Ovis aries: one gene and its partners. The protein of the gene in region 1 interacts with the protein of each later gene in a biochemical or structural test. Links are inferred from orthologs where the notes say so. Each region holds a gene or a part of one and is shown in the gene's direction. Other genes may lie near its edges.

What was found.
Region 2: of the proteins of ARRB2 (region 1) and USP33, one has a biochemical effect on the other in vitro, tested with the Homo sapiens proteins (2 studies listed by BioGRID, with this or other methods). The link is inferred for Ovis aries from reciprocal best matches to the Homo sapiens genes ARRB2 and USP33.
Region 3: the proteins of ARRB2 (region 1) and CLTC form a complex in vitro, tested with the Homo sapiens proteins (3 studies listed by BioGRID and IntAct, with this or other methods). The link is inferred for Ovis aries from reciprocal best matches to the Homo sapiens genes ARRB2 and CLTC.

Annotation. Positions count from the first base shown.
Region 1 is NC_056064.1:26,521,472-26,525,771, reverse strand, and holds the start of ARRB2 (beta-arrestin-2), read left to right. Parts: upstream 1-1,500; 5' UTR 1,501-1,587; coding exon 1,588-1,610; exon of another isoform or gene 1,611-3,596; intron 3,597-4,300. UniProt on the Homo sapiens protein: Functions in regulating agonist-mediated G-protein coupled receptor (GPCR) signaling by mediating both receptor desensitization and resensitization processes.
Region 2 is NC_056054.1:54,179,461-54,183,186, reverse strand, and holds part of USP33 (ubiquitin carboxyl-terminal hydrolase 33), read left to right. Parts: intron 1-204; coding exon 205-345; intron 346-1,531; coding exon 1,532-1,647; intron 1,648-2,767; coding exon 2,768-2,940; intron 2,941-3,040; coding exon 3,041-3,135; intron 3,136-3,726. UniProt on the Homo sapiens protein: Deubiquitinating enzyme involved in various processes such as centrosome duplication, cellular migration and beta-2 adrenergic receptor/ADRB2 recycling.
Region 3 is NC_056064.1:10,332,155-10,335,880, forward strand, and holds part of CLTC (clathrin heavy chain 1), read left to right. Parts: intron 1-163; coding exon 164-306; intron 307-2,666; coding exon 2,667-2,901; intron 2,902-3,726. UniProt on the Homo sapiens protein: Clathrin is the major protein of the polyhedral coat of coated pits and vesicles. Two different adapter protein complexes link the clathrin lattice either to the plasma membrane or to the trans-Golgi network.

The DNA of each region.
Region 1 (4,300 bases):
ATTCTATTGTTCATCTTCTCTCCTTGATTAGTTTCAGTCTATGACAGTGTGCCCCACTCCCTTCACCCTCCACACTGCCCAGAATTGTCTTCCTAAAGGAGAAGTCTCATCATGCCACTCCACTCCTTGCCTTAAAGAGCAGATCCACTACTGGATCCACGTGTCCTCCTCCAGGGGAGGCTCCTGGCTCATTTCTTTAGCTGCTGAGCTGCTCCTGCTCAGTCATGTCCGAGTCTTTTACGATCTCATGGACTGTAGCCTGCCAGGCTCCTCTGTCCATGGGATTTTCCAGGCAAGAATACCAGAGTGGGTTGTCATTTCCTACTCCAGGGGATCTTCCCGACACAGGGATCGAACCCACATCTCCTACATTGGTAAGTGGATTCTTTACCACTCCATCACCTGGGAAGCCTCATTCCTTTACCTGCTATACAAAATCCTTCACACCCTGTTCCAGTCATCCTCTTCAGCCTTCTCTCTCCTGCCCTCTACTCCCACAAACACCTCATTATAGGATGTGCCTTGCTTTTCTCTGTCTTTGGAATACCCTTTCTTAACTTCTGCCCACACTTCAGAAAGATTATCCTCAAACGTGCCCTCCTCTGGACAGCCTGCTCTGCCTCCATCCCTCCCCAGCCAAGCTCTGGGAGTCACTTTGTCTTCTGAGTCATACCTCTATTATAGCATTCCTGGAATCATAATATCTCTTCATATGTCTCCTCAACCATACGAGGAAGGCAGGGGTGATGTTAATTCATGTCTGAGTTCCCACTGCCTAGTATAGTGATTAGCACAAAATAGACATGGATAGATGTATGGACGGATGTATGCATGAATGGATGTTAACTTCGATGAATGGATGGAGAAGAGTAGTAAGAGAATTTAGAAGTAACCCTGCGAAGATCAAAGAGAGACACCAGAGGGAGCTGACACACCACAATAAAGAAGTGGGAGGGAGGGCCAAAGACGGCTACAGGCTCCGGGGTGAGCGGCGCGCAATAGGCGAGCATCTCGCAACTGGAACCGCTCACCACCTGTGCATCCCCTTATCCTCCTTCCTAGACTGTGTTCGAGCTCACCCACTGCCCCCACCACCCCCGTAGCCTCCAACGCCACTGAGAAAGCAAACAAAGGGGAGGAAACCCCTGCAGGGTGCTTGATGCAGGGAGCCAATCAGAATGCTTTAATCTCCTGGAAGGCGGGCGCCTCCTTTTGAGGGGGCCCAGTTAGTTCCTAAACGGGTGCGGAGGGGCGGAGAGATGGGCGGGAGTAGCAGGGTGTAGAGACCGCGCGCGGGGAGGGATCCCTCCGCAGGGGTCGGGGTGGAGGGCGGAGGGGGCGGGCGGAGCCAATCACCGCGCGTGCCTGTAAGGAGAGGGAGGGCAGTGCCGTGGCGCGCGCAATCCGGCTGACGCATCTGGACTCCGTTCTCCAGATCCAAGTTGGGAGGGGGGAAGGAGAGGCGGGGGTAGTGGAGAGAGCGCGGGGGCGCGCGTGCGCAGTGGCGCGGGGAGGAGCAGGGACCTGGCAGCGGGCTAGGAGGCTGTGAGCTATCCGCGAACCGGGCGGGCGGCGGGCGCGCGCACCATGGGGGAGAAACCCGGGACCAGGTAAGAGAGGTGGGGCCATTCGGCGGGACGTGGACGGCGGCACCGGGCGGGTGCCGGGACGGTCCTCAGACAGGAACACCAGGGAGAAAATTCGGGGGCCGGACGCCTGGGTCCCTAGGGGACAGCCATTCGGGGCCGCACGCCTAGGTCCTCGAGGATAATGAGGGGAAGGCATGCCACAGTCCCTGCAGAAAGCGAGGGCTGAAGATCAAGAAACCTGCATCGGGCTTCTCGCAGAGATGTAGGGGGCCGGACGACTGGGTTCTCCGGTGCAGCCTGCGTTGCAGGGGCGGAGGAAGGAGCAGGTGGCCGGCCCGGAGGGGACGGGTGTGGGCAGACTAGATGCCAGGGGCGGGATCCCCCGAAGACTCGTGCCCAGCCACTTGAAAGCCTCCTATCCAGTACCCCACAGGCAGTCAGACTGCCCCCACCGGCCCCAAGGGCCGGGTGGCTCTGCTTCCAAACTTCTGCTTTCCCCCGGGTTGCTAGGAGCAACAGCTTCATTTTGGGGGAGCAAAGAGTGCTTGACGACCCTCCCCAATTCTGGGCCTTATCCCTCTTCCCGTGAGTGAGGGGAGGCTGTATCTGCCCAGGGCACGCCATCCACTCCCCGGATGTTTTCTGTGCAATCGAGGCTCCTTCCTTCCACTGACACCCCGAGTTCTCTTTTTTGGTCTCTAGCAAAATCCACTTCCTGTTGTGACCCAACACCTCCGGGGGTGAATGCCTGAGTCTCTGGGGAGCAGGAGCAAAAGAGGGAAAAGATTAGGGCTATTTGCTTCTCTCCAGAGAGGATCAGGAATGGGGGCCTGGTTCTGAGCTGTCACTTGTTCTGCAAAACATTTTACCAGCCCCACAGCTCCCCACCCATAGAATAGGAAATCACAGGTTCCCGAACACCCAGTCGATTGATACTGGAGAGGTGATCAGAAGGAGGACTGGTGTCCTGGATTAGGGGTTAAACACAGCAAAAGGGGAAGTCGCTGACTTGAGGGAGGCCCCAGATTTCCGTTATGTGGTTCAGGGAGGGGGACGGATGGACCACACAGGGACTGCTGACTTGGCACAATTCCTCCCACCTCCATCAAATTCTGGGCCACAGGAAATGGAGAGAATAGCAGGAAGTGTGAAGGGGCATCTGCTTCTGCTGCCCCCTCACCCACTCGGCACCTCTCAGGTCACCCCAAAACTCCGCCTTCTTGGCCAGCCTCACTATACACATGCTTGCTCCTCCCTAGCAGGCAGGAGGCTGGCTGGGTTAGGATCCAAAGGGCAGGTGCCCTGCAGCTGCTTCAGGGCAATTACTCCAGAACCACACTCCAGTTGTCCAACAGACTGTGGCTGTCCCAACCCTCTGCCAAGGACTCCTAATAGGAAGAAACACTGGGACAGAGAGGAAAACCAGAAGCAAAGGGGAGGGAGAGCTGAAGGCTGCCACAGCAGTCAGCCCCCAGGTGGGGACAAGAGATAGGGTGCTTATCCTAGTTCCCACCATACCAGTGTCTGCCCTCCTTTCCTCGATGGGGGTACCTGGGGGCCTCTGTACCCTATGCCTTGTGGTCTTTGGATAGCTTGGCCTTCTGGGAAGAAGGGGCATGTGACTTTGTTACAGTGGATGGGCCAGGTGGCAGGATTTCAGTTTCTACTACCTGGGGACCCTTCCTGGGTATCACTGCTGAGGCAGAGTGGATTGGTAGGAGTAAGGTGGGGCAGCAAAGAACAGGCCCACAAGTGGCCAGGGCACAGGGGTTGCCAGACATCTCCCTATCCTCCCAGCAGTGGGTGGAGTCCAGGCTTAGACCATTTCAGCAACCAGAAAGCGGAATCTCCTTCACTCCAACAAACATAATGCCAAGAACAGAGGCAGGATAGTACAATCATTTAGTGATGAAGAGCCAGAGTACCTCTGTACCCGAATTCCACCATTTACACTCTCCGTGACCTCAGGCAAAATACTTGACCTCTCCTGGGCTTCAGTTTCCTCACCTGTAAAATAGGAATATTAGGACCTCCATCACTGGGTTGCTGAGAGCATTAAATGCAGTCACACACCTGAAACACTTGGCACACTACAGGGCATGAACCATACACCCATAAATGTTAGGAAGCATCACGGCGTCTGGCTTATGGCTGCAACTATGCTGGGGATGCCTGAATCAGTAAGGCCTCTGTTGCTCACAGTCTAGTGAAATACATGATACACAGCTAACTGCACATTATCACACTACATGTGTGCTAAGTCCAGTTCTTTGTGACCCCATGGACTGCAGCCCACCTGGCTCCTCTGTCCATGGGATTCTCCAGGCAAGAATACTGGAATGGGTTGCCATGCCCTCCTCCAGGGGATCTTCCCGGCCCAGGGATCGAACCCTTGTCTCTTACATCTCCTGCATTGGCAGGCGGGTTCTTGACCACTAGCACCACTTGGGAAGCCCTATCACACTACAGGTAAAGCATAAACAAGGTGTGACAGAAACCCCAAAAAAGGGAGTGACTAGAGTGGGGCTGGATCTACTTTCTAAAGGAGGTGACATCTGAGCTGGGCCTTGAAAGACAAATAACATTTTAAGCTGCTGAGATCAGAGACAGGGACAGTTGGAGGTTAATGGAGAGTAGGGTCACACTTAGAAACCTCCCATAATAGAAACCAATTTAGAGCCACTGCTCTTTCCAGTATTCCAGCTCTTGTG
Region 2 (3,726 bases), on another chromosome or scaffold:
CAACAGTAATGTGTTATGAACATTAATTGAACTCTTAGGGGGAAAATCACTGTTACTCACTTAGCAAGCATAATGTCTGTTGTGTACTTCACCTGACATTTATTACTGTGAATTGTGTTCAAAATCTCAAATGAAAAAAGCTTTCTTTGACAGGTGGAATAATTTTACTATTTAAGGTAATAATACAAATTTTAAATATTACAGAATATATTACTGATGTCCATTTGAATGACCTGTCTACACCACAGATCCTCCCATCAAATGAAGGTGTTAATCCACGATTATCAGCAAGCCCTCCTAAATCAGGCAATTTGTGGCCAGGATTGCCACCCACACACAAAAAAGGTAGAAGTTTCAGTTACTCAGGTTCCTTTGCTTTGATAGTTTAAAGTGTCAATTATGAAATATTATTCAGGCTTTTTAAAATTGACAGCATCATTTTATACAGCCATGATTTAAAATATTTTTGTGTGTGTGGCACAAATTTATGTATGACAGAGTTTACTCTTTTGGCATAGGGTTCTGAGTTTCAGCGCATGCATAGATTGTTAGAACCACCACCACAAACACAGTGTAGAACAGTTCCAGCTCCCCAAAGAAGTCCCTCATAGTACTGTTTCATCCATAGTACTATTCCATTCCCTCCCAAAGCCCCAGCCCTATCTGTTCTTTATTCCTGTTGTTTTTCCTTTTCCAGAATGTCATATACATGTAATCATAAAGAACATAGTCTTTTGAAATAGGCTGCTTTCACTTAGCTTAATGCATTTGAGATACAGTCACATTACATGTCTGAATAGTCCTTTTTTGTTACTTAATATTTCATTGTGTGACTATGCTGTGTAATACACTGAACTCAGTGAGTGCATATACTCACTGAAGGATATTTGAATTTGTTTCCAGTATTTGGCAGTTACAAATAAATATTTATGTACTAGTTTCTGTATGAACATGAATTGTCACTTGTTCAGGATAAACACCTGGATGTAGGATGATTGGGTTTTATGTTAGTTTTATGCTTAATGTTGCATGAAGTTAAAGAGTCTTTATGACTTTGTGTTAGAATTATTTAAAGACATCAAAGACATAAAAAGCATGATCCATAAATAAAAAAAATTAAAATCTTTTTTGGCAAAATTATTAAGAGAATGAAAAGATTGGGAGAAAATATTTGTAAATCACATAGCTGACAGAGGACTTGTATCTAGAATATATAAAGACCTCTAAAAAACTTAATAGAATCCTTTCTTCAAATAAAGCCTTACTTGGAAGCAACAACAAATAAGTAAAAGCAAAACTGTTTTGGTTGAAGTCAAGATGGGGAGACTGAACCCTTTCTATTTCATCACAGTTTCTCTTTGAGGATTTTTGGTTGTTTTTTGTGTTTTCTTTAGGTAGTGCTCTTGAATGGTATTTTGACAGATTTTTTTCAGCAGAGTAATTTTGCTGTTAATAGTTTCAGAAAAAGTGTAAAGGAACTATTTTGATTTCTAAAAGAAAAAATTATTCTGTACTTGTTTTTCAATCCTAGTTCAATCTGCATTATCTCCAAAGAGAAAAAAACAGCACAAGAAATACCGAAGTGTTATTTCAGACATATTTGATGGAACAATCATTAGTTCAGTTCAGTGTCTCACTTGTGACAGGGTGAGTATGTGAGGATTATAATACACAGGAAATTTCTTTCAAATGCTTTTTAAAAAACTGACAAGATGGTGTGAGTAGTTTTAATTCCTTCTCTTTGCTGTTGATGATTATACATGTATTTCAGGTGTTTGCATAAGTATAAATTGATTCTAAGAGTAGAACTTGTTTTTTGGAAGTAAAGCAGCATACTTTTTTAAGGATGGGTCTTGACTTGCCATTGAACAGGCATACATTAGTAGGAAGAATTAACTCCGTTCTTCGTCTCTGGTCACAAATAAAGGAGTATGTTGCTCAGGAACCAGAATTTGAAACACATGCATATTCTCCCAAGGCTGATGAAATTAGTAGGAAACAGTTGTTACTGACTTGTACAAGGCTATGAATGTATCATCTCACTTGGTTGTATGATTTGTAAATATTTTCTCATGTTAAGATTGGATTCAGATAATAAAAATAGTATCAGGTGTATACAGAAGAGCATAAATTAATATCATCATGAGATTTTTAATAATACCTCTAAATTCCTGAATTTCTTAGAGGTTTTAAGAATGGTTTTGCTTCAGTATAGTGATGAATATAATTAAATGTAAAATGACATATCTCAAAATTAAGAAATAACCCCAAGAAGGTTTTCTGTTATTGTGTTAGAATTAAGTCAAATCTAAGGGTTTTCAATAGTCTATTTTGGTATCAGTCATTTAAATAGAATTATCCTGAAATATTTTCAGCTGTTTAGGTTTTGCATCTTGTTTTTTAAACTACACTGAATAACTATCACTAGAGGTCATTTTCAAAAATAAATGCAGTAGTGATAAACAGTTTGAACCTCAAGCTACAGTGGCTGGGTATGAGGTACTTCTATTTACCACTGTGTTCTCGACTAATGGGGATGTTAGTAGTTATAGTTTGTGTGAAGATTAAATTTAGAACAGTTCTTGGTACAAAGCAGTTTTGCTTTAGTTGTTACTATTTTTGCTTTGTTACTACTATAAAAAGCAGTTTGGTGTTTTGGTTTTTTTCCTTATTATAATTTGCTTGGATCTTTGCCGTCTAAAATCTGTCCTCAGGTGTTTGTGCTGGATTATTTTCATCCCATTCTTAAAACACAAAACAATTTTAGGTGTCTGTAACCCTCGAGACCTTTCAAGATCTGTCCTTGCCGATTCCTGGCAAGGAAGACCTTGCTAAGCTGCATTCATCAAGTCATCCAACATCTATAGTCAAAGCAGGATCATGTGGCGAAGCATATGCTCCACAAGGGTGGATAGCTTTTTTCATGGAGTATGTGAAGAGGTATGTGTGCATTTTCTTTGTTACTAGTTCATTGTTAAAACGCTGTTTCTGCTGTACTGGCAGAACATTTCCTTTCTTTTTTCTGTCAATGATGTTTCAGGTTTGTTGTCTCATGTGTCCCTAGCTGGTTTTGGGGTCCAATAGTAACCTTGCAAGATTGTCTTGCTGCCTTCTTTGCCAGAGATGAACTAAAAGGTAAGAAATACAAAATAGTTTTCATCTATGGTTAAACTGTTGTGAATGAGCTAAAATATTAGTAGGACTAAATATGAAATGTATTCGTAAAAGCTAAATTTGGAGGCAGCTTAAATAGTGCTTGCCCATATTGCCACAGTGCCAGCATCTGTCATGACGACATAAATATTATAAGTAATATCTTGAAATAACTGATACAAACTCCTATAGTACTAGACAATACAATATTTGAAGTGTGTTAAATCTGCTCTGAGATTGAGAAAAGAGAAAATTCAGCCAGTACAAAAGACTGTGAATCTGAATTAGTCTGAATTTCTCGGTAGTGTTTAAATCCAATCCTTCACTATTTTGAGGTGCCAGCACCTTGCTTCAGCATACAATACGCAGTCTGAATTTTGTTGAGTGAATAAAACAGTGTTATTTGAGATGGGCGCAGTGTTATTTGAGATGGGCCTTCTGGGTTGAAAACAAGAGGGAGGTGAAGGGTGTTGTAGGCAAGGTTAATATGCCGACTTAAGCAGAGACTGAAAAGTGCATTACTGTTCTACGGGATCAGCGTGACAAACTCAAAGAACTGCAAAATCAAAAGAA
Region 3 (3,726 bases), about 16 Mb from region 1:
TTTGTCTAGTGTCAAATTTAGAATCTGTTTATTACTGACTTTTAAAACAGGTTGAAGAGGAAAATGCGTTTTTCTTGCTTTTTGCTTTTTTTTTTTTAAGAACTCTTTTCAGTTTTGTTTCTTGGTAACATAATGCCATTCTTTTTTTTTTTTAAAACCATAGGTGAATCCAAGTCGACTGCCGGTGGTTATTGGGGGATTACTTGATGTTGATTGCTCTGAAGATGTCATTAAAAATTTGATTCTTGTTGTAAGAGGTCAATTCTCTACTGATGAGCTTGTTGCTGAAGTTGAAAAAAGAAACAGGTGTAGTACTATTTTAATATTCACAAGTAGGATAAATTATTAGTCTCTCCTAGCATTGTATTAAATAGAAGTATAACCTGTCCGTTGCCTAAAACTACTCAGTACTCATGGATCTTAATTCCCTAGAGATGCCTAATTTAGAAGTGATAAGCTAGCTGTAACTTGCTGTATACGGCTGTCATATAGAATATCTGTTAATCTAGTCATTCACCTTTTTTTGATTAATTAATTTTAATTGGAGGATAATTTCTTTACAATACTGTGGTGGTTTTTGCCATACATCGACATGAATCACCCATGGGTGCACATGTGAGTCCCCTTCCTGAACCCCCCTCCCAACTCCCTCCCCACCTTATCCCTCTGGGTTGTCCCAGAGCATCAGCTTTGAGTGCCCTGCTTCACGCCTTGAACTTGCACTGGTCATCTGTTTTACATACAGTAATACACATGCTTCAGTGCTTTTCTCTCAAGTCTTCCCACCCTTGCATTTTCCCACAGAGTCCAAAAGCCTGTTCCTTACATCTTGTGTCTCTTTTGCCACCTTGCATATAGCATCTTTACCGTCTTTACTGTATTGGTATTTCTCTTTCTGACTTACTTCACTCTGTATGATAGGCTCCAGTTTCATCTACCTCCTTAGAACTGACTCAGATGAATTCTTTTTTAGAGCTGAGTAGTATTCCATTGTGCATATGTACCACAGCTTCCTTATCCATTCATCTGCGTATGGACATCTAGGTGGCTTCCATGTCCTAGCTGTGGTAAACAGTGCTGCAGTGAACATTGGGGTACACGTGTCTCTTTCAGTTCTGGTTTCCTTGATGTGTATGCCCACCAGTGGGATGGCTGGGTCATACGGCAGTTCTGTTTCCACTTTTTTAATGAATCGCCACACTGTTCTCTGTAGTGGCTGTACCACTTGGCATTCCTACCAGCAGTGTAAGAGGGTTCCCTTTTCTCCACACCCTGTCCAGCATTCGTTGTTTGTAGACTTTTTGATGGCGGCCATTCTTATAAATGTGAGATGATGTCTCGCTATGGTTTTGATTTGCATTTCTCTAGTAATGAGTGTTCACCTTCTTTTTGCATGTTTATAATTACATTAAGTCAAACCACACAGCTATGTGTTTTTAATGTAAACTATGTAAAAAGCCTCCTTTTAGGTATGATACCTAGTAACTAATTACTCTCTGGTAAATAATCAAGTATGACAAGAGAAAAACATTCCCTGTATAACTCTGAGTTAAACTTATTTTTAAGTTGAACCTTGATATAATATGAGTTAGGAATTTCCAATAGAAGAGAACATAATATGAGTGCTTCTGATAGTTAGATCATGAAGTCTTTTTTTTAGCCAGGACATTGTGTGTTCACAAAGTGCTGACATAGTAAATGAGGTTAGTGAGAAGTAATGAGGTTAAGTAGGAAGTTCCTCTAGCAATGAAACCATCTCAAGAATAGGGTTTAATTTTAACCTGAGTTGGTACAAGTGTTCTACTAATGGAAATTTATAACATAATTTATATCTAAATGTTTCAAGCTAAATGTTTCAGAAAATGTTTGAAAAATTCTGCACTTAAGGACAATGGAGATGTAGAATATAATACTGAGTTTTATTTTTTTAAAGCTTGAGACTGATTTAAAGTGATTATTGTATAGTTGCTAAGTCGTATCCAACTCTTCTGTGACACCATGGACTATAGCCTACCAGGCGCCTCTTTCCGTGGATTTCTTGTAACTATTTAACATGTTATTTAAACCATGGTAAGAGTGTTGGTCATCTGAACCATTGGAAAATAAGCTATAACTTAGCAAAACCATGGCCCTTGGTGGAGTGATTGATTTTATGACTGCTAGAATTTTACCAGATTTTGTTCCCAGTTATGTGTTTACTTACGTTACTGCTTCTTTTTGCTGTATGTAATGTTGCATGGTAATTGTGGTAAAATTAAAAGGAACCGCAGATAATGTGGCTTGTTTTCTCATACCACATCTCTGTCCTACTCCTAAGCAATATTACTCAGAGGTCCAGCCATTTGCCCCATATGAAAAAGAATAATCTGTGAATCTGTAGTCTCTTCTCTCCATATCCTGTCTAGATAATGTAGCAGATAGGTCTGGGAGAGTATGAAGGACAGTCTTATATACCTTCTGTGTAACATTGGACAAATCCTTTAACCATCTCTGAGTCCTAATTTCTCAGTTTCTGATAGAAATGTTGAGAATTCAAAATAGGGTATGGGAAAGCACTTTATAGACCATAAGGTACATAGCATGTCAAGAGTGTGTTATTTATAATATAGTATATGTATATGTGGGTTTTTTTGTGTGTTTCTTTTCTTGTTTTATTTTTTTACTAGATTGAAACTGCTTCTGCCTTGGCTGGAGGCCAGAATTCATGAGGGCTGTGAAGAGCCTGCTACTCATAATGCATTAGCCAAAATCTACATAGACAGTAATAACAATCCAGAGCGGTTTCTTCGGGAAAATCCTTACTATGACAGTCGTGTTGTTGGAAAGTATTGTGAGAAGAGAGATCCGCATCTGGCCTGTGTTGCTTATGAGCGTGGCCAGTGTGATCTGGAGCTTATCAATGTGAGTACTGCCAGCTGACATATAGAGAAGACAGCATTTTTAAAACCTGTTACATAATGTTAGACTAGTGAATTTTGAGAGTTTCAGAGTGGTTTTAGGTAATATGGAGCATTTTTAGAAGGTACACGCTTTTTTTAAAAAAAACTGCTGATAATTATGAACTTAAACTGGCCAAAGTAGTTGATTACATTTATATTCACCCATTGACATTTACGCCCCGGTTTTATCGCGTATGTTCTCATACACTCATATGTACACATACATGTATATATTTTTTACATATACGTGTATATGTATAGGCACATCTAACCTTTTAACCTTATGAGAATAAGTTGCGTACCTCATGGCTTTATAACCCTTCAGTGAGTATTTCCTAGGAATAAGGGTATTCTCTTTCATGACCACATTATGGATAGCAACCTCAGTCAGTCTGATACTGGTAGAATACTGTTAAAAATCTGTTTCGTTCTGATTTTGTCAATTGACCTGAGAATGTTTTTTAAAAGAAAATTTTCCCTTTAGTCTAGGATTACATACTGCTTGTACGTGTCATATCTTTCATGTCTCTTTTAACCTGAAACACTTCTTCAGCCTTTGTCTTTTAGTGACAGACATAATTGGAAAAATAGTCTTTTTCTCTTTTTTTATTGAAGGTAACATAACATTAGCCATTTGAAAGTGAGTAATTCAGTGGCAGTTAGTACACATACAGTGTTGTGTAACCATTATATCTCTCTTGTTCGGAGTTCTTATTCCAAGTGTTCATCACCACACGAGGAAATCCAGTACTCACTAAGCAGTTGTCCCACATTCCCTACCTCCTTC